7 linked regions of the Cricetulus griseus genome follow. The protein of the gene in region 3 purifies or fractionates together with the protein of the main gene of each other region. This does not show direct contact. Links are inferred from orthologs where the notes say so. Each region holds a gene or a part of one and is shown on either strand. Other genes may lie near its edges. The genes, in order: Sf3b1, Syncrip, Fus, Ilf2, Safb, Hnrnpc and Hnrnph1.

The links.
Region 1: the proteins of Fus (region 3) and Sf3b1 purify together in Homo sapiens (affinity purification with mass spectrometry; 3 studies listed by BioGRID and IntAct, with this or other methods). This does not show direct contact. The link is inferred for Cricetulus griseus from reciprocal best matches to the Homo sapiens genes FUS and SF3B1.
Region 2: the proteins of Fus (region 3) and Syncrip purify together in Homo sapiens (affinity purification with mass spectrometry; 3 studies listed by BioGRID and IntAct, with this or other methods). This does not show direct contact. The link is inferred for Cricetulus griseus from reciprocal best matches to the Homo sapiens genes FUS and SYNCRIP.
Region 4: the proteins of Fus (region 3) and Ilf2 purify together in Homo sapiens (affinity purification with mass spectrometry; 3 studies listed by BioGRID and IntAct, with this or other methods). This does not show direct contact. The link is inferred for Cricetulus griseus from reciprocal best matches to the Homo sapiens genes FUS and ILF2.
Region 5: the proteins of Fus (region 3) and Safb purify together in Homo sapiens (affinity purification with mass spectrometry; 3 studies listed by BioGRID and IntAct, with this or other methods). This does not show direct contact. The link is inferred for Cricetulus griseus from reciprocal best matches to the Homo sapiens genes FUS and SAFB.
Region 6: the proteins of Fus (region 3) and Hnrnpc purify together in Homo sapiens (affinity purification with mass spectrometry; 3 studies listed by BioGRID and IntAct, with this or other methods). This does not show direct contact. The link is inferred for Cricetulus griseus from reciprocal best matches to the Homo sapiens genes FUS and HNRNPC.
Region 7: the proteins of Fus (region 3) and Hnrnph1 purify together in Homo sapiens (affinity purification with mass spectrometry; 4 studies listed by BioGRID and IntAct, with this or other methods). This does not show direct contact. The link is inferred for Cricetulus griseus from reciprocal best matches to the Homo sapiens genes FUS and HNRNPH1.

Annotation. Positions count from the first base shown.
Region 1 is NC_048595.1:409,474,934-409,478,934, forward strand, and holds the start of Sf3b1 (splicing factor 3B subunit 1), read right to left. Parts: upstream 2,855-4,001; 5' UTR 2,727-2,854; coding exon 2,699-2,726; intron 1-2,698. UniProt on the Homo sapiens protein: Component of the 17S U2 SnRNP complex of the spliceosome, a large ribonucleoprotein complex that removes introns from transcribed pre-mRNAs.
Region 2 is NC_048597.1:198,378,360-198,381,925, forward strand, and holds part of Syncrip (heterogeneous nuclear ribonucleoprotein Q), read right to left. Parts: intron 2,385-3,566; coding exon 2,179-2,384; intron 392-2,178; coding exon 242-391; intron 1-241. UniProt on the Homo sapiens protein: Heterogenous nuclear ribonucleoprotein (hnRNP) implicated in mRNA processing mechanisms. Component of the CRD-mediated complex that promotes MYC mRNA stability.
Region 3 is NC_048596.1:72,795,928-72,799,365, forward strand, and holds the end of Fus (RNA-binding protein FUS), read right to left. Parts: intron 3,132-3,438; coding exon 3,002-3,131; intron 2,253-3,001; coding exon 2,151-2,252; intron 2,023-2,150; coding exon 1,899-2,022; intron 1,384-1,898; coding exon 1,283-1,383; intron 1,167-1,282; coding exon 1,022-1,166; intron 766-1,021; coding exon 726-765; 3' UTR 553-725; downstream 1-552. UniProt on the Homo sapiens protein: DNA/RNA-binding protein that plays a role in various cellular processes such as transcription regulation, RNA splicing, RNA transport, DNA repair and damage response. Binds to ssRNA containing the consensus sequence 5'-AGGUAA-3'.
Region 4 is NW_023276806.1:64,074,732-64,078,724, forward strand, and holds the start of Ilf2 (interleukin enhancer-binding factor 2), read right to left. Parts: upstream 2,860-3,993; 5' UTR 2,733-2,859; coding exon 2,728-2,732; intron 1,989-2,727; coding exon 1,929-1,988; intron 1,490-1,928; coding exon 1,447-1,489; intron 1-1,446. UniProt on the Homo sapiens protein: Chromatin-interacting protein that forms a stable heterodimer with interleukin enhancer-binding factor 3/ILF3 and plays a role in several biological processes including transcription, innate immunity or cell growth.
Region 5 is NC_048598.1:96,961,499-96,965,509, reverse strand, and holds the start of Safb (scaffold attachment factor B1), read left to right. Parts: upstream 1-1,169; 5' UTR 1,170-1,317; coding exon 1,318-1,506; intron 1,507-4,011. Other genes in the region: Safb2 (scaffold attachment factor B2), read right to left, coding at 304-474. UniProt on the Homo sapiens protein: Binds to scaffold/matrix attachment region (S/MAR) DNA and forms a molecular assembly point to allow the formation of a 'transcriptosomal' complex (consisting of SR proteins and RNA polymerase II) coupling transcription and RNA processing.
Region 6 is NW_023276807.1:207,170,347-207,174,703, forward strand, and holds the start of Hnrnpc (heterogeneous nuclear ribonucleoproteins C1/C2), read right to left. Parts: upstream 2,857-4,357; 5' UTR 2,701-2,856; intron 1-2,700. UniProt on the Homo sapiens protein: Binds pre-mRNA and nucleates the assembly of 40S hnRNP particles. Interacts with poly-U tracts in the 3'-UTR or 5'-UTR of mRNA and modulates the stability and the level of translation of bound mRNA molecules. Single HNRNPC tetramers bind 230-240 nucleotides.
Region 7 is NC_048600.1:64,833,183-64,837,492, reverse strand, and holds the start of Hnrnph1 (heterogeneous nuclear ribonucleoprotein H), read right to left. Parts: upstream 2,861-4,310; 5' UTR 2,837-2,860; intron 2,350-2,836; exon of another isoform or gene 2,212-2,349; intron 1,716-2,211; 5' UTR 1,684-1,715; coding exon 1,587-1,683; intron 422-1,586; coding exon 266-421; intron 68-265; coding exon 1-67. UniProt on the Homo sapiens protein: This protein is a component of the heterogeneous nuclear ribonucleoprotein (hnRNP) complexes which provide the substrate for the processing events that pre-mRNAs undergo before becoming functional, translatable mRNAs in the cytoplasm.

The sequences.
Region 1 (4,001 bases), on a different chromosome or scaffold from region 3:
GATCTCTGAATCTGAGGCCAGCCTAGTCTACAAGCCAGTCCAGTTCCAGGACAGCTGGGGCTGTTACTCAGAGAAACCCTGTCTCCAAAAAAAAAGGCTTAAAGAAAAATGTAAAACCTTTATTCTTGAAGGGAGTTTGTGGGACTTGCATTTAATCCCAACACCTGGAGACAGGGGCAGGCAAATCTGAGTTCAAGGCCAGCCTGGACTACAGTTCCAAGACAGCCAGTGCTTCACAGGGAAACCTTGTGTCAAAAAAAAAACAAAACAAACAAAAACTATATTCAAGAAAAATGTCATAAAGGAGCAAGAGGCTATGCAAATGCTGTATACAGTTCTACTAAAAAGTTATCACCCTGACAGGAAGTGTGGTGTACATCTTTTAATCCCAGCACTTGGGAGGCAGAAGTGGGTAGATCTCTGAGTTCAAGGTCAGCCTGGTCTACAAGACAGCAAGGTCTACACAGAGCAATCAGGATGGGGGGAGGGCACTTACCACCTTCTGACTTGTACCTATGGGTGACATAGAGGTCCCTGTTTTCAAATAGCACTTGTACAGATTTTTTATTGCAGCACTTAATTCAGTGATAAAACAATCTCAAAACAACAATTTTTGCTAATGGGCTACAATCAACCAACAAGCTCAACAAGCTTAGCTGGGCTTCTATAATGAAAAAGTAAAACAAAAACTTTACATTTATCTAAACAGAGGTTTGCTACATAAAAAACATTAAGCCAACAATCAAAGCTACAAAATGCCCATAAATAAATAACATTAGGGGATGGAACTCCCATCTATGCACCTATGGGGAAGCCATCATGGAGTGTGAAAACTTTCTAGTGGGGCTGGCTGCTTTGGGGTCAGCCACGTTCCTGTCAGTTACACCGCTCCCCCTCACTCCATGCTCCATTAGTTCCCAGAATGAAAAAAATAAATAACCTACCTCTGAAAGAACAAAAACGGAAACATTCTTAAATTTTCTAGTTATTTTGCAAACAACGTCTGAGAAAGTCTAAGGACAAAAGAGTAAGACCAAAACATTTCTGGCTTTAAAAAGTGTTGGAGCCAGGAGTTGGTGGTGGACGCCTTTAATCCCAGCACTCGGGAGGCAGAGGCAGGCGGATCTCTGTGAGTTCGACCAGCCTGGTCTACAACAGTAGTTCCAGGACAGCCTCCAAAGCCACATAGAAACCCTGTCTGGGGGGGGGGGGGCCGTGTTGGATTAGGTGGGCATAGAAGCACAGGGCGCCTTTTAACCCAGCTCTTGGGAAGCAGAGGGAAGTGGATGCATCTCTTTGGAGTGGAGGCCAGTCTTGTCACATAGTAAGTTTCACGGCAACATATAGTGAGACTACATCTCAATATAGAAAGAAAACAAAACCACATGTACTTTCAGGTTTAAAGACTAAGGCCGGAACATTTCTGGCTTTAAAAAGTGTTGGTACTTTCATTTCCTCAAAAAGTCCCAACTATATCTAACCTCTTGGTGCTATTCACTCTCTAGATTCATCTCCGAGTTCCCTCCTTACACCTTCTCTTCCTACCACGGCAACGACTCATTCACATCTTTCACGACTCACTGACTTGTTACAAGATGTTCCCTCCGGGCTCAGACGTCCTCCCCTAATTTAAAACTGATCCATTTAGATCAGCACCGCGTCACCACCTCTCAAAAATAACTAAAGCATAAATTAATGGCTCCGTTACCAGCCTCTCAGAAAGTACTGGCTTTACCTCTCTGTACACGTTCCTTTGTTTTTTCTAAGAGAATTAAGATTCACATATCTGTTTCCCTAGCAAACCGTCAAATTTCCTATATCCTTGGTTTCTTATCTCTAACCCCGGACCACACACCAAGAAAGGATGTGTTTAGTGGCTCTTAGAAGCCATGTTGTCAGCGTAAATTCTGGTTTGTAAGCCAGGAACCAAGACACGGGGCTTCAACTTCAGACACTTCAATTCCTTCCTGCCTTCTTGTTACTTTCTTATGGAATCCGGTCTACTTCCAGGGTTTCGAGCTGTGTTCCCGCTATACACCGTAAAATGATCTACCACCCTGAAAGCACAGCTAGGCAACGGATAAAATCTGCCTTTCCGCCTCTCTTCCGTCTGGTGTTCTCTCTAGCAATCAGTCCCTCAAAGAAAAAAACACTACACGAGAAGTGGCTCAAGGAGTGAGCCACCGCATCTTCCGCCCGAATCATTGGGTGCCGAGCACCACCACAACACAGCCTGGCCGCCTGGAGACGCCTGCACCGCCGAGGTCGGAGCAACGGGCCTGCGTCGGAGCCGACTCCGTGTGGAGCAGCCGGAAAGCGGCTGCCGCCACTCGGGGCTTCCCAGCTGCAAACTGCCAACCACGGCGCCCGTGGGGGCGACAGCGACTTCCCTCCCACGTCCGCCTCCCCGCTCCCCCCCCCCGGGGGACGTCCAGGGCCCGGCGCTCGAGGGAGGCCCTCGGGTCAGGACAAGGTAACTGGGAAACGCCGGCAGCCAGCGCGGAACAAAGCGCCGGTCCCGGAGTGCGAGAGGACGCCATTACGCGGGCAGCGGCCTGCGCCGAGGAGCCGAGCCAGGCTCCGCCGCGCGGACTCGGCCGAGACCAGAAAGGCCGCGCCAAGTCGCCGAAAGCCAGGAGAGCGGGCCGCGGCAGGCTGGCAGCCCAGGACGCGCGAGGGAAAGGCCGAGGCCGCTTACCTTCGTGAGTCTTGGCGATCTTCGCCATTTTGTCCACTCGAACACACAGGCGGAACTGGCGCTCCCAAGGACTTCCGCTCGCCGCCGCCGCCGCCACGCACAAACAGAGGAGCTGCGCTCTAGGCGTGCGCACACGGGAACGCGCTCCGCACTATGGCACGCAACTCAACTGCCACCTAGATGGAACCGCTTGGTGCATGATGGGAGTGGGAGGGGCCAGGGCCGCCTCCGGGCGGCTTCCTTAAAAAGCCTGCGGTTGATTCCGCGCCGAAGGACTAAATTCTTAAGAGAACACAATAGAAGGGAAACGCCCGCGCGCGCCTTTAATCCCAGGACTGGGGAGGCAGGGATCTCTGTGAGTTCGAGGCCAGCCTGGTCTACAAAGCCAGTTCCGGAAAAGCCAGAGCTACACAGAGAAACCCTGTATAGAAAAACTCAAAAAAGAAAGAAAAGGAGCCGGGTGTTGGTGGCGCACGCCTTTAATCCCAGTACTCAGGAGGCAAGGATCTCTGTGAGTTCGAGGCCAGCCTGGTCTACAAAGCCAGTTCCTGAAAAGCCAGAACTACACAGAGAAACCCTGTATAGAAAAACTCAAAAAAGAAAGAAAAAGAAAATAGATTCTACTGAGTCAATTAACAAATGCTGGGGCCGGAGGTTATACAGGAAGATCCAGAGTTCAAATCAGCCTCTGCTACCTAACCAGTGTGAAAACAGTCTGGGCTTCCCTCCTCCCCCCCCCAAAAAGCAACAAAAAGAAGGCCAGTTCCCACTTGACTCTGGAAGGTTGAATATTGAGAAGTCAGATTGCTATGAAACTTGGCCTGGGGCATGGACACAAACATTAAATTAGCTGTGTGTGGAGGCTGGCAACTGTTGCACACCTTTAAATCAACAGAGATCTCTTAAATTCGAGGCCAGAACATGTTCCAGGACAGCCTGGGCTACACTGAGAGACAGGTCTCCAGGAGGGAAAAAAAAAAAAGCTTCCAGATTCCAGACAGTGGAAAATACAAGAAACACCATTAGAAGCTGTCTAGAAGAGGTCAGAGAGATGACACAAAGGTTAAAGGCTGGTTGCTCTTCCAGAAAACCAGATTCGATTCTAGCACCATAGTCTCTCACAACTGTTAACTCTAGTTCCAAGGTATTGATGTCCTTATCTGGCCTCTGTAGGCACTGCAAGAATGTGGTAAACATACAAAAATGCAGGCAAAACACTTAAACACGTAACATAGAAATATATATGGTTTTGTTTGCTTGTTTTATTTATTTATTTTTTCTAGACAGGGTTTCTCTCTGTAGT
Region 2 (3,566 bases), on a different chromosome or scaffold from region 3:
AATAATTTTAGTTTAAAACTTGAAAAATATTTAACATTAACTCTAGAAACCTCTGTCAAAATTAGATAAAACATGGTTGCAATATAATTAAAGATCTTCCTCGATGCTATTTTTACTTAAATGGTTTGCTTGACTAAATTTCATAACTTGAACTTTGCATCAAATTTATTAAGCATGGGATTTTAAGACTATAAAATATTGGTCTCTTTAGATGCCTATGAAATTTCTACCACTTTTTTACCTTGACTGCACCATCTCGCTCATCAAAATGAATGAAAGCATAATCTTTTAGTTTCTTCACTCGTTCCAGTTTCCCAAACTGACTAAATGACTTTTCTAAAATTTCTTCTGTTACAGTATTGGCAAGGTTGCGTACAAACAGCACTTTTACCTGAAATAAAAAAGCAAATTTTCCAGAATTCAATTTCCAAAAGCAACCACCCCATCCTACAAAGTTAACTTGAAACACAACCAGTAAGTATATATAGTTTTAATTTCCTGTGGGTAAATGCCAAAGAGTGAAATTGCTGATAAAAGTAAAAACCGAAACAATAATAAAGGTATTACCAAACCAAGTTCTACCACGAAAAATGTGTTCAATTATTAACAGATAAGCAAGCTAAAGCTGAAGTACACTACACACCTTACTTAAACCCCAGAACACAGGAGACAGAGGGAGGAGGATCTCTTAGTTCCAGGACAGCCAGAGCTATTATTACACAGAGAAACTCTGTATTGAAAACAAACAAAAACAACCTAGAAACATGTTGGGATTACAACACTTTAAAGCTTCAAACCTGAGGATTAGGAAGAAATAAACTTTCATTCACAAAAACTGGGGTGTAAACTGATGCAGCCCCTGTGTTTAAGGCGGTTCCTTATAAAACTAACCATATTCTTATCTTATAATCTTGTGTTATTACTCCCTATTTATATTTACTGAAGAGTTGTTAAGTTTTATGTTCCTACAAAAACTTGCATCCAGATGCTTCTAACAGCTTTATTCATAACTCCCCCCAAACAGTAAAAAGATATCCCTTCAATATATGAATGTACAAACAAAGCAGAATTTTTAGCTATAAGTCAGGGAGTGGTGTTGCATGCCTTCAATCCCAGCATTCCAACTACTCAGGAGGCAGGGGCAGGGGCAGGGGCAGGGGAATCTGGGATGCAGGGGCAGGGGAATCTAAAGGACTTCCAGGATAGCCAGGACATAAAATTCACAAAAAGAGGACATTTAAAATGTTGCCACGGACTCTCAGAAATCTATATAGGCATGATACCAATCATGTGACATTCTGAAATGGTAAAAGGGAAGAAGGGCTGTCAAGATTTGAGGGATAGAGATAATCAAAGCACAGTAATATAATTTCTGGGATACTATAATGGTGATTATCGAAACCTAAGACTGCTTTTGAAATGTTGGATAAAGTGCTTTAAAATACTAGTAACATCCTGGGAGTTGTGCTGGACAGATGGCTCAACAGTTAAAAGCACTGCCTGCTCTTCCAAAGATCCTGAGTTCAATTCCCAGAAATCACATGGTGCCTCACAACCATCAATAATGGTGCTCTCTTCTGACCTGCAGGCATACATGCAGACAGAACACTGTATACATAATAAAATTAAAAAATAAAAAAGCTTGCTGACACATCACACATGAGATCCTGGGTTCAATTTCCAGGAACATCTAACTCCCTCCTCCTGAAAATTTCTCAAAATATAATTGTTCAATAGTAGTCAGCACTCCCAATAGTTAAAACTGCCTTCTATAGATTTAAGCAAACATGACCTTTTAACTATTAAAGGGATTCCTAAAAGACAAGACAGAATATCCAAACTGCACTCAAGAGTTACCTCAAGAGTTAACCCTCAACTGTTTGCTGAAAAAAAAAAAAATAATAATAATTCATTTATTTGATTTTTTTCCTTTGTTTTGTTACAGGGTATGACTCATAAAAAAATAAAATAAAATTAATTACATCACCCTCAAATATTCAAAAGAAAGTGCTCTAGAATACCTTCCGTGCACTCACATTTTTTAGTGTATAACTAATTGCTTAGTAAACTTTTTACCTTCAAAAACATTTAAAACAATGCAAACAATTCATTTACTAAGTTTTTTCTTATGCTCCTCTTATTAACCCAATAAAAATTGTTTTACTTTACTGTAATTACCTTTGCCATAACTTCAGGATCAGGATCTTCTATGGGATCAGCCCATTCAACAGTTCCAACATTTCCCCAGACTTTGACTTTACCACTCATTAACCTACGCCTTGCCTGTGCAGCTGTTTTGTGATCTTCATATTCAAGAAAGCAAAAGCCTCTATTTTTTTTCTTGTCATCCGGTTGGTGATATAAAATGACATCTGTGAGACCCTCTGAAATTAAACAAACATCCCAGAAAAGTAGGTTAACTAGCAATTAATTTGTGTTTAATAAGCTACTCTTTAAATAAAACATGAAAAATACAAACTTTTACTAACAGCAATTATCTTTTAAAGAAGCAAAAGCCAGGTGGTGGTGGTACATGCCTTTAATCCCAGCAGAGAGGCAGGCAGATCTCTGTGAGTTCAAAGCCAGCCTGCTCTACAGAGTGTGTTCAGGACAGCCAGGGCTGGTACAAAGAAATCCTGTCTCTATAAAAACAAAAAACAAAAGCAAGAGACATACTCTCCCCCACAAAAAAAAATTATTAATTTTCCAAATCAACCCAACCCTACCCTAGCTTTCTAGCCCAGAAAACCCAACAAAAGCAAACTACTTAACTAGCCATGGGAACCATTTTGATTCCACTAAGGTATAAGACAAATAAAATTCGTCTGCTCATCTAAAAAAATGCTATCTCTTTGTCAAACATGATTAAATTAATTCATTGCATTAAAATTCTATTTGGGAGGGAATGGTCACGTGAAGACCCCTGGTCTTCAGCCTAAGTAAAAATCTTACCTAGGTTGAGCTACATCCACCACCCTTTTGCTTTTTTTTTATTCATATTTTACCATCTCTGAAATTGGTTTAAATGGCATCTTTTTCTGTTCTCAAATAACAATGGCATTCTTCAAAGGAAAATAGTAAATACTGTTAATGCAGAACACTTTTCTATGTTTCTACAGACTGTTAACAGAAAGATAATTTTCTCAACACTGTAGGTAGATTAATGTTAAAAAAAACAAAAGTACCATGTTAACAATATGTCTCTGCTTTTAACACTTGTTCCTTTAACACAGGTGAAAAGGCTTCATTCATATCTAAGAATTAAAAACCACTAGGGGGCTGGAGAGATGGCTCAGTGGTTAAAAGCACTGGCTGTTCTTCCAAAGGCCAGGTGTTCAATTCAGAGCACCCACAAAGCACCTCGCAACTGCCTGTAACTCCAGTTCCAGGAGTCTTACAACTTCACAGACATACATGCAGGCAAATAACAGCTAAAGTGTGGAAATAAACACAAAACAAGGAAGAGATGGGAAATAAATACAAAGCAAGGAAGGGATGTGCAATAATTTCACAGACTGATTTCAAATTGCAGATGTATTTCCATGTTTAGTTTTGTCTTATTGTCT
Region 3 (3,438 bases):
GACAGCCTCCAAAGCCACAGAGAAACCCTGTCTTAAAAAACCAAAAGAAAAAAAAAAAAAAGAGAGCGAGTTTTAGGGCAGGCTCCAAAGCTACAGAGAAACCCTGTCTTGAAAAACAAAAAAAAACCAACTAGATATTGTAACCAGAAATAGCACATGCCTTTAATCCTAGTAACCAGGAGGCAGTTTTAGATAAGCCAGGGCTATACAATTACCAGAGTCCTATAATCCTAGCTGAAATATGACTAAGTTCAAAGAATCAAATATCAAAATACCAATGACCCACAGATGTTAAGATTTAGGAAGATGTTAAAGTGACCCACTGTATGCACCGTCCTTTTTCTGAAAACTAAGTACCCATCATTTACCGCTTTCCTAGAAACCACTTAAGCATTCTTTTATCTTTTCAAGACCGAATCAAGATGATGCTAGGCAAAAACAAATGATTCAAATTCCTGCTATGCAAGATGATCTGAGGGGACTAGGGATTAGTTCCCCACATTCCTAACACAGACCAATCCTCCAGAAAGTAAACTGGGGTCAGCAACAGAATTTAACTAAAATGATGGTTTTTAATGGGAACCAGAGATACGGTTACAATTACGGTAGTCTGACACACACACAAAAAAAATCCATGGGCAATCCTGAATTGAAAGTTTACAAAATAACAAGGGTAACACTGGGTACAGGAAGAAGAGCTGTTCTTCAGAACTTCAGAAGCTGGGCTAATATGGCCTCTCCCTGCGATCCTGTCTGTGCTCACCCCTGAAAGAATTGTTAGATATGAATTACCAGACCATCCAAGCATACAACCTTCAAATATCCTACTTGTCCCTGCTACCCAAATGACGTTTCTTAAGCAAAATAACCTTAAGACTGGGTTCCTAATTCTTCTACTCCCCCTTCCCAATAATGTAAACCAGCTGAGAGCTGTCCTTTCCTAGGAAATCACTCAGCAAAATCTTATTTCCTCCCAACTCCAACCAATTGCTGTTTTTTGTTTTGATATAGACTTACTCACCTTGAGTCCATCTTGCCAGGGCCAAAACCGCCTCTGTCCCCACCACCCCGGCCCCCTCTGAAGCCCCCTCGGTCCCCGCCTCGGCCCCGGTAGCCGCCCCGATCATAGCCTCCTCTGCCACGGCGATCATCTCCATAGTTACCCCCTAGGACAGAAGAAATGACATATCAGCCTCATGCTTCTACCTTCCTTCCCACTACCTTTCCAAATCAAAAACAAAGTCTTCTTGGACTTCTATAACCAGCTCTGCTCCCTTCTTACCCATATGAGAACCTCCTGGTCCCCCTCCTGGGCCATCTGGCTTAGGGGCCTTACACTGGTTGCATTCATTTCTCCAAGAGAAGTTCATATTCTCACATGTACTAAAGAAATGAAAGGGAATTAATTTGGAAGAGTGCAGTCCAGAACATGAATTCACAAGACTCCAAGGCAAAACAAAAGTATTATTAAACCTAGACTAAAAGTATTACTAAACCCTTTTCCCACTATGGCCTCCTTTTCCATGGTTAAAATGTTTGCCACAGTTCAGTTCAAAACACATTTTAGTAATTAATGTTTGAACTCTTACCCTCACTCCAATATGTCTGCACAGGAGTCACCCATCACCGCCACGATGAGTATCCACTTTGACCCTCTCAACTGTGAGCCTCAAATTAAACACTTCCTTTATAAATTGCCCTGGTCATGGCATTTTATCTATACTCTCCAAAGTTCTAGGTATTTACTTTGAAGACTCTTAACCTTCCCTAAATAAACTATTAACTCAATCTTCCATCTACAAAATCTCATTTAAAAAAAAAAAAATCTTCCTAACTCTTAACCTAGTATCAAGATAATAATCTTAAGAACTTTGGAGGAAAAAGTCAAATTCACTCACGGATTAGGACACTTCCAGTCCCCAGCTCGTTGCTGTCCACCACCTCCACCACCTCCACTGGGGAATCCTCCCCGGCCACCGCCACCACTGCCACCTCCTCCGTAGCCTCCACGGCCCATGGGTCCTATACAAACAGAATTATGATTTCTTAGTTTGGTTAGCCTACCTTTTCCAAATTTCTTTTCCTCACCTTCCACATTGTGTTCCATCACCTCTTCAAAACAGAAAAAGTAAATGAAGTAAATGGCTCACCTCCTCGACCTCGGCCTCCACGACCATTTCCACCACCCCTATTAAAATCGGCTCGGCGGGTAGCAAATGAAACCTTAATAGGATTCCCAGAGAATTCTTTACCTAAAGAAATAAAGGTGGATGAATTATAGAAGGGCCTGCTTTAGATCCCCAGGGCAAGATGGCTTGGTGGGTGAATGCTTTGCCTAAATTCAATCTCATGAGCACACACTGTGGAGAGAGAATTAACTTCACATGGTTTGTGCACGGACCTCAATGCCTATACCACGGCATGAACATGCCTACACAGATATATAGTAAATGGTGAGAGAATTGAAAGACCTAAAGATCTGAAACACTTTTTAAAACCTAAGAGAAATGGGCCGGAGAGATGGCTCAGTGGTTAAGAGCACTAGCTACTCTCTGAATTTAATCCCCAGCATCCACATGGCAACACACCACTACCTTTAACTACAGTTCCAAGGGATCCCACACCCTCACAGACATATATGCAGGCAAAATACCAATGCACACAAAATAAATATGGGAAAAATTTTTTTAAAATCTTAAGAGTAAACTGCTTCTTAAAAAGATTTATAAACTAATGGGAACAAAGGAGACTACAGGGAAATTACAAAGTGCCTGTAAGACGGCTCAGCAGGTAAAGCTGATTGTTGCCAAGCTCTGATCACCCAAGTTCCACCCTCATGACCCATATGTTACAAGAACCAAACAGATCACTCCAAATTGCTCTCTGAATGCCACAGGTCTCTCCATATACAATATTAAAGACGAGGTGCCATCAGATCCAAACTACTCAAACAGACCCTGTTTCAAAGCCCCACCATCCACCTCCATCATCTTCTACATACCATCAAACCAGTCAATAGCTGCTTTAGCAGAAGGTGGGTCATCAAATGAGACTGTTGCCTCACCCTTCAGCTTGCCAGTTTCCCTGTCTGTATACAAGTTAATCATAGGCTGTCCAGTTTTCTTATTTGTCTAAACAAAACAAAAGAAATCATCAATTTATATAACCTACACACAGCTCATTGTTCTAAAGCATCCCTACATGCTGAGTGCACTCAGTGGTTACAGTACTTTCTTAAGCAACCATGATGGCACAGGCCCAATCTCCAGCATGGCAGCAAAACTTCACTTAACTTTCAGTACCCAAATAGTAGCATGCTATAGTTATGTTGTTTTAGAATATGGTTCTATAGTTACAAAGTACTGGTATACCAAGTTCAAAACTAACAAAGTTGTTTCAATTTGCCAATGTAGAACCTATTGAAACAGACCTCCATCT
Region 4 (3,993 bases), on a different chromosome or scaffold from region 3:
TCCTAGCACACACATGACAACTCACAACATGTGACAACCTCTCCTAGCCTCCAAGTGGACCAGGCATACAAGGGGGTATACATACACATGAAATAAAAAGAATCCACTGTAGCTGGGCCATGTTGGTGCATAACTTTAATCTCAGCATGGTGGGGAAGGACAAGGCAGAGACAGGCAGATCTATGTAAGTTTCAAGGCCAGCCTGGTCTACATAGTGAGTTCTAGGACAGCCAAGGCTACACAGAACAATCCTGGGGGGGGGGGGTATGATCCACCGTGTGTGTGTGTGTGTGTGTGTGTGTGTGTGTGTGTGTGTGTGTGTGTGATAGTGCACACCCTTAGCAACTCAGGAACCAGAAGCAGGCAGATCCCTATTAGTTCCAAACCAGACAAAATTATATATACAGGCACTGTCTCAAAGATAATTAAATACACCTTTAGTCCCAACACTTGGGAGGCAGAGGTAGGAGGATCTCTGTGAGTTCAAGACCAGCCTGGTCTACAAGAGCTAGTTCCAGGACAGCCTCCAAAGCTACACAGAGAAATCCTGTCTCGAAAAAAAAAAAAAACAAACAACAAAAAAATTAAATCCTAAAATTATTTTATATTATAACCAAATATAATAGAAGAAATATTAAATATCAAACTAAAGAAATTATCTTCCCTACCAAGTTTACACTGTTTTCTCGGTTTTGTTTTTGTTGAGACAGTTTACTATTGTATCCCAGGCTGATCTTAAACCTTGAACATGGTCCTCCTGTCATAGGCATCCATTCCTGGGATTACAAAAGTATTACAGCCACTTTGAAAACTGGCTGACCAATTGCTTTGTTTTTGAATATTTATTTATTTATTGTATATGTGTGAACACTTCAGAGTATGTATGTGCACCTGTGTTTGGGAGCCTGTGGAAGTCAACAGAAACATAAGATCCTCTGGAACTAGAATTACAGACAGATGTACACTATGATATTAGTGCTGGGAACCAAACCTGTGTCTACTGATACAGCCATATTATATACCTATATAGTGATATGTAATGAATAAATATAGCAATAATAAAATAAAACTAGGAGTTGGAGTTGTAGGTTTAGCATGCTAAGGACCTAGGTTCAAATCCCTAGCACTCAAACTAAATAAATAAAAACTTAAGCCACATGTGACAGTGCATGCCTATAGTCCCAGCACTCAGGAGATTGAGGCAGGAGGATGGTGAATTTGCAGTCAGCTTGGTCTACACTGAGTTCCAGGCCAGCCAGGCATACAGAGAAAGACTCTCTTTCTCTGTATCATATTATGAACCATATTTCTGTACCATAATATGAACAATACCATATTCATTCACAAATCTACTCCAAACAATACTTGACTTCATTAACAAGGAGATTCTGTGCTCCCTTTTTTGCACAGTGGGCAGAAAAGTCCTCCACAAAGCCAAGTACTCACCAAATAGAAATCAAAAGGGATGTGGGGCACAAATGGCCTGAACCTGAAACACAAAAACAATCCAAAATTATTTAAACAGAAAGCAAGTGAGTACACAATTCACCAACTTTGTCTTTTAAGAGTTGGGGTTTTTTTGTTTTGTTTTTTGTTGTTGTTGTTTTCAGAGACAGGGTTTCTCTGTGTAGCTTTGGAGCCTATCCTGGCACTCACTCTGGAGACCAGGCTGGTCTCGAACTCACAGAGATCCGCCTGCCTCTGCCTCCGGAGTGCTGAGATTAAAGGCGTGCGCCACCAATGCCCGGCGAATTCCAGAGTTTTTGAGCCATATCATTCTTAGCAAAAGGCTAAAGTTACTTAGCAGAATATCAGGAAAAGAAATGCTTCACATGACCTTCACAAAAATCAAGTTCAGCAGTCCACTCCAAACCTTTATTTAGATGACTGGAACAAACCGGGGCAAAGATGCAAACAGCCACACTCACCCTCCTCCAGGGCCTCCTCTGGAACCAAAGCGCCCACCACGACCACGTCCTCTGTCACCCCTAAAAAATACATACATTTTACTTTCACCTAGCTGAAAAACGTCTCCATCATACCAGCCACATTAATTCAATTTGACTTACCTCAACCGCTTCTAACTACTGAAGTCACTTTTCCCTAATTCCAAATGGTGCCCAACGCCACCCCCACGACGTCTTAATTCTGGATTTTTTTTTCCCCTTTTGTTTTTGAGACAGGGTCCTATGTACTCCTGTTGCCTTACCTCCCAAGTGCTGTGATTGCGGCGCGCGACACTACACCCGACTTCTAATTCTGGATTCTATCAAAGCTCACATCAGGAAAATATGAGGTGAAGACCCTGACTGACACACATACCCCTACCAAGCGACCCACGACCGTGAGACTCGCCAATCCTAACAGAGTAAAGTGCCTTCTCTTTTCAGCACAGCGTTAACAGTTACCAGGCACGTCCTACTGGTCAAACACTAGGCGCTAGAAAATGCGCAGCGCTCCAGCCTTCTCCCTGCAGACCGAGGATGCTCTTTTTGGTCCGTGAGGGCTCTCCACACCATCCCGAGCCCTAGGTGCTAAACCAGCTCCCAGGCTGGGCCCAGCCCCCTCCAGGCCCGATTCCCCGCCCCCACCCGCCTCCTCCAACTCCACTCTCGCCGGCCTGTTCGCCGCCAGGCGCCCACAATCAGGCCCTTGGTCCTCCGCCTCCGTTTCAGGCCGCCCTCCCGAGGTTTCTGGAGGAGCCTTCAGGAACCTCTGTCCACTTACCTCATGGCTCGCTTAATCCTGAACAATGGAGGACACTAAACCGCCCTTTCCCTAGAAGAATCAGGTCCGCAGAGAAGCGTCTGCCAGGGCGTCCCAACAAACGCCGGCGCGATAGGCTCCCGCCTCGTTCCGTCCCTTGTGATTATTGGTCAATTCAGCAACCAATGAAAAAAATGCCCTATAAGGAGCCAACCAATAGGAAGACAATAGCGGGGATGAAGGCAATTTTCTACACTAACGTTAGGGGGCGCTCAGAATCCGGACTGTGACCTAGTAAAGGTCTTCTATGGGCCCAGTAAGGGGTTTGAGCAGTGGATAGCAGAGTGGCGCAGCGGAAGCGTGCTGGGCCCATAACCCAGAGGTCGATGGATCGAAACCATCCTCTGCTATCGGAGACTTTGTTTTTTTCCTACGGCCTCCTGCCTTCGCTTTGATAAAACAAACTTGTCTTTTCTTCTCCAGCTGTTTTTGGTTTTGCTTTTTCCAGACAGCATCTCGCTTGGTCACCCCGGCTTACAAAGTTCTCGTTAATGGAACGCGAGCTGACCTCACTCTCACAGCAATCTCTACGTCCTCAAGCCTTGCAAGTGCCTGCATGTCAGTGGTGTGCCACCTCACCTGAAAACATAATTTTACCCTACGAAAATATCAGGGATAATTGAGTCTTATTTACCACAATTATTCCCTCGATGTTATTACTGTTATACAGTTCTTTTTATTGAAAATACTTTTCATGCAATATATTTTGATCATGTCTTTCCCCTCCCCGAATTCCACCCCGTCCTCCCCACTTCCCTGTGTTGTGTGATTCTGACAAGTACTGATGTGTTGTGTACTTTTGTAGGCGTGTATTTCTTCCAAGTAACCTAACCCCACCAAGATTAAAATAAACAATATTTTATCGGGTCCGCAAGGTGGCTCAGCAGGTGTAAGCTGCTGAGACCCACGCGAAGGAGAGCAGCGACTTCTACATATTGTCTTCTGACCTCACTATGTGTGCTGTGGCTGTGGTGACACCCATAAACACAACATAAATAAATTTAACAGAAAATTTTTTCAAAACAAATATTTTGGCGGAGCATGGTGGAACACGCTTTTAATTCCAGCACCTGGAAGGCAGCCGCAAGAGGATCTCTGTGAGTTCAAGGTCAGCCTGGTCTACATAACCGGTCTATGCCAGATAGTGAGATACTGTCTCAAAAAAACAAAAGTTTGTGACCTCAGAAAGGTAACCATTCTGGATTTCTGCTATCATGGATTTAGACT
Region 5 (4,011 bases), on a different chromosome or scaffold from region 3:
CACAAGAGTCCACTGAGATGGCAGCAGGGGAGGGAGCTGCAGACACGCAAGGTCGTGAAGACCTGCCCAAGCGCACCGCGCTCCTCACTCACCCAGCCCGGGCTTCGTGCAAACTCTGGGGCCAAAGGACCGCCAGACACAGAGACGGGCAGAGGCTGGCCAAGGTCACACAGCCTCGGCTCCCTCGCTCCTTCCCTCGGTGCCTGACACTTCACACCGAGATGAAGGCTCGGGCTGGGATGCCCCACGTCTGAGGGAGCAGTGACGCCCGGGTCCCCGGCGCCAGCACGGACTGCCGCTCACCTTCTTCAGCCGCTCCATCAACACACTCTTGTTGCCGCCCGTATCCAGGTTCCGCTTCTTCAGCTCCGCCCTCAGGTCGATCACCCGCAGGTCGCTGAGTCGCCGCATTCCCGTTTCCGAGGCGACCGGACCAGAGCCGGGGTCGCCCGACCCGGTGACAGGTTCCGCCATCCTCGCCGGCGCGACTTCCCGCCCCGCTCGGCAGCCTCATCCACACGCACAGCCCACCGCCGGAGGGCTCGGAGCACAAAATGGCGCCGCCTAAGAGGAAAGCGCACCGCTTCCTCCCGCCTCCCTTTGCGGCTGCGCAGGCGCACCGCTCCGACGCGCCGCCTCGGCCCCACGTCCCGGTTTTCGCCAGCCTCGCGTCGCCGATGCGCATGCACCACCCGTCTCAAGCGCCGCCTCACGTCTTTTCGCTGAATGCGCGTGCGCACCGGTCTGACGTACCGCTCCGGTCGTACGTCGGAGCTTTGCGAGCCTCGCTCGTACGAATGCGCATGAGCAGCCGGTCGTCAGCGCCGCCTGTCCGCGGTTCACACCCCCTTTCCGCTTGCGCATGCGCGCCGCTACTGTCCCAATCTGGAGTTCTCGCTCGGCTTCGTGGCTGCGCATGCTTGCCGCGGTTCCGATACCGGCCGGCCCCACTCCCACGCTCCACGCCAACGCGCAGGCGCAGCAACTGCAGCGCGCAGGCGCAGCAACTGCAGCGCGCATGCGTCGCGGCTGGCGGCAGAGGGAGACCCGGCGATTCGCGCCTGCGCCTTGCCCGCCGCCGCGCTCACGGCGCTTGTGCAGAGGCGTCTGAGCGTGTCCGTCTCGCGCCGGGCACGCCTGCGCAGTGACGAGGTGCGCCTCAGGGGAGGCTGGAGCGGTTCCCTCTCAGGCGGCGCCATTTTGTGGTAAGAGAGCCGAGATTCAAAAACATAATAATAATAAATCCAAAAAATACACGCACGCAAACCCACCGACCCGGTTCTGTGTGAAGCGGGCGACGGAACCAGGGTCCCTGGAATGGCGGAGACTCTGTCGGGTTTAGGAGACGCGGGTGCGGCGGGCGCGGCGGCCGTGAGCTCCGCGGCGTCAGAGACCGAGACGCGGCGGCTCAGCGACCTGCGGGTGATCGACCTGCGGGCGGAGCTGAAGAAGCGGAACCTCGACTCGAGCGGCAACAAGAGCGTGCTGATGGAGCGGCTGAAGAAGGTGAGGTTCGCCGAGGGCCCTGCGGTCGCCATGGCGACGCCCACCGCCGGGTCCGGGGCGGCCCGCGGCCTCCGCGCCGCGCACTTCCGCTCCGGCCCCGCGGCCGCCGGGGAGGAGTTCGAATCCCAACGCCGCGGCGATGCCACCAGCAGGCAAGAACACCACGGGCGCGGACCCGGGTGTCGGTGACGTCGCGTTGCCTGCGCTGCTTAGTCCCAACCCCACAGGGGGATGGAGGGTACTCGGCCAAGGTCACCCAGCAGGGTCAGCCTGTGGCAGGGTTCGAACCTAAGTCCCTTTTCGGCTCTCGAGGCCGAACCTGTGGGTGGGTGGTTTGGTTTCTTGGAAGATACACAGTGACCCGTGGGGATACGAAACTTCAGGGACCCTCAGAGTTAATAAACCGGAGGATAGCCCAGGGGATGGAAGTTTTTAACTTTTTTTGCCAGGATTAAACTAGGGGAGGTACGTGCTTGAAGGAAAGAATGTTTTGTTAGTGATAAGGCATGTCAGACGTGAGTTCAAGGCCTGTCCAGGCTACAGAGGGAGTTCAAAACCGACCTGAGCAGCAGAGTTCAGGGCTAGCCAGAGGTTGTCCAAGGCCAGCCTGGACTGGGGGTAGGGAGAGAGGCAAACCCGGGCAACTTAGCAAGACTGTTTACAAATAAAAAGTAGGGACCAAGGGCTACTCGGTAGAGTGCTTGTCTTGGATATACCAAGTCCTGAGTTCTGCTCCAAGTGCCTCCTGAGGCTGGGAGTGGTGGTGTGTACCTGGCAGGAGGATCAGAAGTTTGGGGCCCTGTTGTGATGAATGAGACCCTGTCTCAAAAACATCGTTTTGTATCGTCTCTCTAAAAAGAGGCCTGGGCACATAGCTCAGTGGTAGCATGCTTGCCCCTAATAGCAAAGACCCTCAGAGCCACCCACTCCATAGCACATACAATCGGATGTAGTCAGGTTGGAGTCAGAGGACAGATGACTATGGGATGTGTCCCAGAGGCAGGTGGAGGGGCATCTCTACTGCCCACTTTGGCAGTCTTGGTCTTCTGAGTCTGTTCCTTTAGGGAAGGGCAGGGTCTTGTGGACATGGGCTTGACATGCAGCCTGGTGCAGTACAACAAATTCAGTCTCCTTGGGCCACCTTTTGTCGTTTGTAGATTGGGACTCTGAGCCCCACCTTGGAGATAGTGTGTGTGTGTGTGTGTGTGTGTGTGTGTGTGTGTGTGTGTGTGTGTGTCACACTTTAGGAAGCTGTCCCTCTAGTTTTTGGACATGGCATCCTGCCCGTGCACCCCTACACACAGAAGCCAGAGATTCATTTTACCCTCCTGGATCTGAGACTGTTTAGAGAAGCTGACAGGGAAAGGAGGAGGAAGCAGCAATGTGACGCCTGTGTTATGTCCCCAGCATCCACAGAAAAGGACAGGTGGGGTGCCAGTCGCAAGCTAGTGCTCAGAGACAGGAGGACCTTTGGGGCTCCCTGGCTGTTCTAGCCAAGTCCGTAAGACAAAGTAGATGGTGCCGTGAGGACAGCTGAGTTGGCCCCCTGGCCGCTGACCCACAAACATACATAGTGCATATGGGCATGTAACATAGATGCATGCGTGAGGAGACCAGGGTGAGCTCTCCAGCCACTGAGCCCCAGCTTCCTTTCCTTTTCTGTGGGCATTGCATCTTCACTGGTATCATAGGCAAGACGCTCCCTCACTGCTATCATCTGCAGGACATGCAGGGTGCGGGAGCCGGTAGTCAGGGTGATGTGCTTGTCTCCACTCACACCCTGTTGTTTGTCAGATCTGAGGGCAGGTCTGCGATCCTGTCCTTCTGCCTCTGTCACCCAGCTGGTAGCAGTCTCCTGTTGTTTTTAACAGGGGCAGAGGAGCAGCTGGTAGAAGGATTTGCTGAGGTGGCCTGGGAGGGACAGCCCTGTCTTACCACCCCAAGGGATGAAATGAGACACCTTCCTGCAACTTGTCCCTCACCCTGGGGATGTTTGAAAACCAACTGTCCCCAGAGAGAGGGCAGGGGCTGCTGGTAGCACTTGTCTTTGGTCCCAGGGTTGTGCCCCTGCTGGCTTACCTCTGTGCCCTTCTGCACCACAGGAGGCCTCCTCGAAAGAGCTCTGGGAAAAGTTGTGTGAGCTTGGGGCCTAATGGAGGTCTGAGGACAGCAACTTTCAGACATCCCCAGGATGAGGGGCATGCTGCAGGAAAGTGTCTCATTTCATTCCCTGGGGGCAGTGTTGACATGGCTGTGCAGGGAGGGAGAGGCCTCAGGGTCCCGAGTGGTTATAGTTGACACAGTTAATACTGATAGGCATGACATACTTGGTGCCCTGGCTGTGCTGGGCCCCTGATGAGCAAGTGACATCCTTGGGTGCGAAATGGGACTTCTAGAGTCTTTCCACTACAACTCCCAGGACAGGATAGCAAGGTCTGAGGCCATGACACAGCCAGTAGATGAGTGTGCCTTGAGGGCAGTCATGGTCTGGAAGAAACCATTAGG
Region 6 (4,357 bases), on a different chromosome or scaffold from region 3:
CCAGGCTTGTCTCAAACTCCCACTGCCTCCCAAGTTCTGGGATTAAAGGTGTGGGCCACTTCTCGCCGGCTGAGAAAAAGTTTTAAAATGTATTTTAGGCTATACTACCAAAAAAAAAAAAAAAGTTCCCACTAAGATTTAGATAAACTCCTTAAACGACACTTTAAATGATCAAGCCAACCAAGAGTTCAAAAATCACCTGGCACTTACTAAAATACAAAATCTAAGCCTGGCAGTGGTAGCACATGCCTTTTGCCTTTAATCCCAGCACTTGAAAGAGACAGGTGGATCTGAAATTGAGGCTAGCCTGGTGTACAGAGCTAGTTCCAAGACAGCCTGGGCTACACAAGGAACCCCCCCCCAAAAAAAACAAAATCTAGGTAACAATTATGACTCAATTAGAAACTGGTAGTAAAGAGCACAGCAATCTGTTCAAATTAGAATACTTTAAACAGAAAATCAGCTTTTGTCTTTTGAGAACTGTAAAGACTTAACCAGGAGCCTATACCCACTGTAGTTTTTCAAAATCTTTACTGAAACACCTGTGGTTTTACTACACCTGAACGTTGTTTTTTAATCAGCCAATTCTCCAGTAAATCTAGTTTCAAAACCATAAATCTTCCGATGAGTTGAGTGTATGAAGCTTTAGCAAATAATGAGACGAACAAACACTTAGGTTTCTCTATGTAGCTTTGTACACCAGAGATCCACCTGCCTCTGCCTCCCATTCAGAAATCCACATTTCTAACACTTTTGAAGGACTAAAAATAGAGGAAACAAGGTCTCACCAGGCCTGAGAATTCTTTGTAGACCAGACTGGCCTCAAAATCATAAGCTATCAGCGAGTTCCGCTGGACTGAAGTTGTGCCCCACCATACCTGGCCTGTATGTCTAACATTTAATGGCAGGTGTTTTTAACCAATCTCAACTACTGCCAGTAGTCTTCTTGCATACTAATTTCCGACACTTATTTACAACACTATTTTTGATGGATGCCTTCCTAGCTATTTCTCTTACCCATTTCTCACTTCACCAGAGCAAAATCTTACTCTTAAATTCTACTTCTAAGGCACACCTTAAAATGATGAGGCTTGGCAGGCAGTGATGGTCACATTTAATCCTAGCACTTGAAGAGGCAGAGGCAGGCAGATTTGGTCTACAAAGCAAGTTCCAGGACAGCCAGAAGTCATACAAAGAAACCCTACCTTGAAAAAACAAACAAATGGCTCGGAGGCGGGGCAGGCCTTTGATCCCAGGATCAGGAGGATACAGAGGCAGGCGGCTCTACCAGACCAGCCTGGTCTAAAGAGGGAATTCCAGGACAGGCTCAAAAGCTAAAGGGAGAAAATAGGTCCCCAAAAAATAAAAATTAAAACAAAAAATTAACTCCCAGATAAACTGACACCCTACACTATTAGTGCTGGGGATTAAATTAAGGGCACCTTGCATCCTAAGCACTACCACTGGGCTACATTAGCAACAGCTGTAACAAATGGCTGGGAGTTAATAGTTTGGGGGGGGGGTTCGAGACAGGGTTTCTCTGTGTAGCTTTGGAGCCTATCCTAGAACTCAGAGATCCGCCTGCCTCTGCCTCCCGAGTGCTGGGATTGAAGGCGTGCGCCACCAACGCCCGGCCCAGAGGGTTGCTTTTTTAAAAACTGCTTTGGAGCTCTCCTCTGTTTTAAAAACAAACAGCCAAAAACAAACAAACAAAAAAAAAAACCAAGATTTTACTGTGTAGTTCTGGGCTGGCTTGCAATGGATACTGATCCTCCTCCTGTCTCATGGCCTCTGGAATGCAAGAATTACAGGCATGCAATACCACACCTGGCTGGAAACTCCTTATTACCAAGTTTAGAACTGATAGGATATTGGAATATCCGGAAAAGACTATTTTGGTTTTGCTCCGGTTACCTTTAATTTCGCTATCAGCTTCCCCTAAAAACTCGATTGTCTTTTTCGTACACAGTATTCCAGTATTCTTTACCTACCTAAAAATATCTTAGTCGCTCTAATTTAGTAAATACTGTCAACCAATTTACCTATCGTTTCTCTCTCAAGACAGCAGTACCTACCTCAAGCAAAGTCCCACTAACATATATTTCAAGTAATTCGTAATCTGCAGATTAAAAGGTAAGTTGCAATTTTATTGCAATTTTAATTAACCCGTGACACTTCCCTTTTACAGAAAACACTCCGCCTTCTACCATTTATTCCTACGGGAGAAAAAGTAATGAATACTCGATCTATTGTTAACACGCCGCTCGGATGCCATGTGGCCCGCCCGGAATTTGGAAGCTTCCAGTACATCATCAGCGTAACGCTCCGCCACCCCCGCCCGACGTTGAACTTAGAAGACTTAATAACGGAATCGTTAAGACATTAAACCTCAATTAGGGTAACAAGCTTGCATTTCTTCCTTTTCACGCTCCCCTCTCCGAGTCCTGGCGGTCGAAGGCAGGCAAAGTGGCCGTTAGACACGAGCGCGCCGGCAGGGTATCCTCCGCGCCGCCCGCGGCCTGGAGGTCACCAGGCTGAACCTGCGCCAGAGCCGAGGCCTGGCGCCGCCCGACTTAGACCCGGTCCCCGGGCCACGGGAACCAACGCGGGCGCCGTTCCTGCCGCCAGGCCGTTCGCTCCCACACCCGCTCGCAGCGCCCACGAACCCGCGCCTCCCCTGCACTCGGCCCCTCCGCTTACCAAGAGTTCGGAGAGAGAGAGAGAAGACACTGCCTCTCCTACTGCGGCTCCGTGCGGAGACTCCGAAGCGACTGCAGGCAGGCAGCACACGACCGTTCGCTCTCCGGCGCTCCACAAAATGGCCCCCGAGCTCCTCTGCCGCCGAGGCGAAGGTCCAGCCCCGCCCCGCTCCTGGGGGCGTTCCTATTGGCTGAGCCTTTTCTCGCTCCCGCTCCTCATTAGATGGCGCTACCGCTCCTCACAGTGCTAGCCAATCGCGATCGGGAGTAGGTTGGTCTAGTTGCGAGAATTTCCACCTGCGTCACCGAAGCTCGTTAGTAATTGGTGGAGCTTCCTGTCACTTAGGGTATGAAGGATGGTCATTGGCCACTGTACCAGACGGAAAACTGGGTGGAATGTTCGCCTTTGTATCGCGCACAGCTTCTCATCCGGGTACCGGCGGGCCTGACTGACGCCGCGTCGGCCTATCGGCGCTTAGTGGACTGCCTAGATCCGCCCTGATCACTGCATTTCCGCGGCGCGGGGGTGGTAAAGTCTGGGTGGAGTCTGGTAGCGGGTGCAAAGGGCCTGCCCTCGCCCCGGGCCTAGGAAAAGGAAAACCAAAGTAAGCCTGAGCGTGGGGAAGAGAGTAATCCCTAGACCGCCTGGAGTGTAGATAAGACAGACCTGCAGTTTTTTTCAATTTCAGATCCTTCTCATTTCCACATTGTGTGAGCTGCCGGGAGGAGGTGGCCTCTCAGCCCACGAGGCTAGACAGCTCCTTCCAAACCTAGTCCTCTCCTGTTACCTGGACCCCTCCAAGTCGGTTGCAAAATCTGCAAACCGAATGGCCGGCCACCTCAATTTCCGATTTCCTGCAATAGTCTGACGGCCACTCAATCCCCTCAGGCCTGGCCTGCCAGTGAATTTCTGGTTATTCTGGAGGAACCTTGAGCACACCAAAATGTATACAGCCCCCTTAGAAAGGGAGATATTACCCCAAGGAGATACACTAGATCTAGGAAAGTCTGATTTAAATTTGGGGAAGGGGGATGTTGATTTTTGGGAGTGTTGATTTGGGGCTTTTTTTTTTTTTTTTTTTTTGGCCAGGTAGTGATGACGGTGCACGCCTTTAATCCCACCACTCAGGAGGCAGAGGCATGTGGATCTCTGAGTTTGACACCCACCTGGACTTCAGAGGGAGTTTCAGATCATCGGAGCTAGGTAGAAAAACCCTGTCTCAAAAACAAAACAAAATAATAATAATAATAATAAAAGAAAAAATTAAACGTTTTATTTATTCTATGTGTGTGTGTAAGCATTACGAGGGATCCGACAGGTAGGGATTCTGGCGTTCTGGCAATCTGGAGCCAAGGAATATGACAGGTCACAGTAATCATAGCAATTTACAGCCCTGCTCTAGACCGGAGGGGCTTCTCCAGCGGAAACTCAGCTTCAGTCCACCAGAGCATAGTGTAACAACTCTGCTTTACTAGGGGAAGTGTGTTTCTTTGGCGCTGGTTTCAGGGTCAGGGTGCATTTCTTTGGTTCTGGTTGCAGGGCCAAAAGTGTGTTTTGGCTGGCCCTTTTCCCTACAGTATGTGTATCTACTTAAGTGAGTTTTGTTTTTAGTTTTGTTTTGTTTTGTTTTGGTGGGTTTTTTTGTTTTGTTTTGTTT
Region 7 (4,310 bases), on a different chromosome or scaffold from region 3:
GTGTCAGGACTATTTGGACCAGTATGCTTCAACACCCAATCCATTTCAACGTTGTTTGACTTGAATACTGAAAGAGGTGCTTAGAATTAGTCAATTAAGTTAGAAAACAAAGTTCAGATTTCCTGGGTTTTTAGATAACTAGAAGAGCTGCCATAAACTCCCTTAGATGACCATTTTTCCATGCGGTCAAATACCTAAAATTCAGAAGGGGTAAGACCTCTATGTGTTTAAACAATTACTGTTACTAGGGCAATGTAAATCAAACCTTCAACATATCTGTGTCCCATAGTTTCTCTGTCTTTTTTCAAGGCCAATTTGACTTCATCTTCTGATTCAAGTTCAACAAAAGCCTCGCCACTCGGTCTGCCTTCTCTGGTGTAGATGAAACGAATACCTTGGGCCCCATTTTGAATTTTGCAGTCTGAAAAGAAAACAACTGTTAATACAGAATTTAAAACCTAAAACCACCCCTGGGTGATACAGAAAGTCATATTCATGTCACCACAAAAAAAAAAAAAATTTCACTCTGTAAATACTAAACCAACCACGCATTTGAACCATCAAATTACCTCAGATATATTCCTAATTCATCAAGGTAACTCAATACTCAAAGCAACTTCTAATTAAACTAGCGCCTTGCCTTCAAGTTTCCACTAACCACCTTTTTGTGCAATATTTCAGAATAATCTCATCTGGACCTGGTGACTTCACAGTATTTTCTGGTTTGGGTACCTCGTCAGCATTACTCTACCAGCAGCCACAGGATAATTTCTCATTCAAACTCCGGCCCAATACTCACCCAAGAGGGGATCAATGTTAACAACTAAAGGCTCCAAGTTGCACAGCTCAAGTCAACCCCCGTCGGCAACTGCCCCTGCAATTGCTTCCAATATACTTGGTTCTTGTTTTACAGGTTGTTTTCTGTTACCACAGCTAAATTCAGATAGTAAGGTCAACACTACAAGTACCTTTTTACAAAACCTTTTCAAAATAAAACTCCCAACCAGTCTTCTTACAACACTGGGAACAAGATTCTGGTAGCAATTATTCAAGAAGCCTACAAATGTAAAGAGAACTCTACAGTGCCGCTAAAACTTCAGCGTCCTCAGTTATGGGAGCCAGTATATTAAGTAATTAGATCTAGAGCACAATTATGAAAAATGAACTTTCTGAAGCAGAAAGCCCCTTTACAAGTGAATATATGCAAACACCTGCAGTAGGACTTCTAGAGCGAGTTAATTACTATTATTTATCCAACTACTGCTTGTCAATTTTTTTTCTCAAATGTGAGGGAGAAATTACATCTTTATTTAAATCTTCCGAAAAAACAAATTCGGAATGGATGGATGGATTGGTGCTTAGAGACAGAAAAGATGAAAAATTCCGCCGGGGCGCCAGCATCCCCAGGGGAGACGGGGGGGGGGGGGGGTTGGATTTTGCAATTATCCTTGCGTAACAGCAGGCAGCAGGGCGCGAGCAGCCAGCAGAACTAGTGGCCGCGCCCCGCTAGGGGGAGCCCGTGAGGTCCGCCCCGCCCCGCCCCAGCCCAGCCGCGGGCTCCACTGACAACTCCCGCTTCAACTCACCAGAAAAAAACCGCTGCACTTCATCCGCGGAGCAGGACCAGGGCAAGCCCCGGACCTTCACCACGAAGCCCTCTCCACCTTCTGCGCCCAGCATCATCGTCTCTTCGTGGGTCCTGGCGTCGAAACAGACTGCAGGGCGCGGGGGTGGGGGTGGGTGGGGGTGTGTGTTAGCAACAATCTGAGAAATAGTCATTTAAATGGCCCTCCCACTTCAAGGCGCCCTGCGGGCGCCGCGACAGGAGCTCCGCCTGTGCAGATGCCTGAACCCTGGAAACTCAAGCATGCAACCCGACCTCAGCTAGCAACCCGATGCCCGAAGCCACTCTGTGCGCTCAGTGTTGAGGCCCTAAGCTAAGGAGATCCCGGCCTAGAGCCCTGGTGGAGGCAAGGAAATGGCGGCCGCCGCTTCCGCTCCGCCTCCTCAGACACCTCACACAATAGAAGCGGCGCGGCCTGCAGGCCTAGGCGGCGCTGCCACGCCGGCGGGACACCCGCGGCTCCCTGTGGTAGCCTGAGCTTGCCACGGCCCCTCTGGTTATAACCTAGGTTCGGGGATAAGCAATCGTCACAAAAATAGGGGTCCGCGAAGGGCTCTAGCAGCAAACGAAGTCAGACGACCACTCACCTCCACACAAAGCCTCGGCGTGGCTGAGGAGAAGTGATTAGCGGGCGCCTGCGCAGCCTAAATAAAGCCCTTCGGACAAGCTCTGCGCACGCGCACCCTGTCGTCTGCCCCGCCCACTTGCGTCACACAGAGATTAGACGCATGCGTAGTGTCAAAAACCGGGCCCTCTTCCCGCCGTCAGATTATTACACGCATGCGTTTGGGCTCAACCTTCTTCATAAACTGGCCGTGGCTTTTTTTTTTCCGCGCCTGCGCCTTTTTGCAACTATTGCGCTTGGCGTCTCAGCGGTTTATCGTTTTGCTTCATGCGCATGCGTCTTCCTTCAAACCGTTCTCTAGACATACCCGCCAGAGTGGGGGAGGGGAATGGCGACAATCAGCTCCCTGTAGGGACTGGATAGTAACCCGGAGTTCGCGGTTTGCAGAGTCTGTTGTTCTACCCTTAATCCGCAGCTTTGCACCCCGGCTCCTGTCAGTTTTGAAAGCCAGCACGAGGAAAAGGAAGTCCTAGCCTTTCTTCCCCCAAACCGATGGGAGCTGAAGAGCCGAGCATCTTCTAGGTGCCGCCCCACCCCTGCGCGCAAAGCCGTTGTCACCGCGGGGCACCCGGTGCCTGTCCCCTTACCTGCCGTTTTGGGGGGCTCAGCCCCGGGCCCAAACGGGCTGCAAGTGCCCGAGCCAGAGTCCTGTACCCCACTTTGCCCAACGAACTCGCACTCTGCGAACCCCTCGCACGAGAAGTGCTCTGTATGCTGCGCCTCGCGAGCGAAGGCTGAGTCCAGGACTCAGCCCCGGAGCTCTGCGGCACACCACCGTCTTTCCCAGGTGAAGTCACCGAGGTCGAGAATGCCCCCGGGTCACCCCGTGTGCACAGACAACGATAAATGCGTAAAGTTACTGCATTCAGAGCAGAACTGCAGAGAACGGATGATGCCCGGAATCTCTGGATTTGACTATCTGACGCACCCCAGCCAGCCCTTGTAGAAATTAACAATGAAACAGTGTTGGGCGGCGCCACAGAGTGGTAAACCACTGAGTGCCATCACAAGAGGTTACAAGCAAAATACATTTTCCTCCCAAGTGCAATATTAAGGAGACCGAATGTGTTTTGGATAGTTTGATAAAAATGGAGAGCCCGGCGGTGGTGGTGCATACCTTTAATGCCAGCAAAAGTAGGCAGAAGCAGACAGATCTCTATGAGTTCAAGGCCAGCCTGGTCTACAGAGCGAGTTCCAGGACAGCCAGGGCTACACGGATAAATCCTGTCTCGAAAAAACAAAGAAAAATGGAGGACTCAAAGGAAAAGTGCGCAGACTCGGCCATAACTCGACTCGTTAGGCCTGCACAAGGGTGTTAAGTATACAGGAGGGCATCATAGCCTTCAGCTAGAGAGCAACAGGAGCTGTGTAACGAGAAACTTCAGGTGCAAGGGAAACTCAGATCAAACAGGCAGGGAGAATAACGGTGCATGACCTCATCTGTAAAGGATCTAGAGAAGATGGAAAACACTCTCTGAGATCCTCGAAAGGTGAGTCTTTCCATCAAGAAGGCTGATGAAAAGCAAGAACACAAGTCCAGCCCAAGCGGAATGCAACTTCGAGACCTGCTTGGGCAACAGAGTGCGTTCAAGGCAGCCTCAGAAATTTAGTGAGGAACTGTCTTAAAAAGAATGCGGGAGAAATCTTAATGGTAGCGTGCTTCCTAGCATGTACATAGTGGAAGAATGCTAGCCTAGCATATATATTCTCCCCTACATCATGAAATCGATTGCCAAAAAAAGGACTCTAGTTAATTACAGCATTTGAGAGCCCTGGTCTTATTATTGGTTTATGATTAGATGGGAGGGAGCGATGCATGCTAGAGACAGAACCCAAGACTGTGCAAACCTGCTCTACTCCTGAACTACATCTTGAGACACACATACCTGTTTATGTTTTAGTCGTCTTTCTCACTTTGCACAGGGGTGTGCCCATATTCCCAGCTACTTGAGATGCTGAGATAAGAGAATCACCTCAATTTAGGACTTCCAGATATTCACCTAAACGGAGGGGGGTTAGTTAGAGGGGGTTGGGAGGAGTTGTGGCAGGCAGCGATTGTGT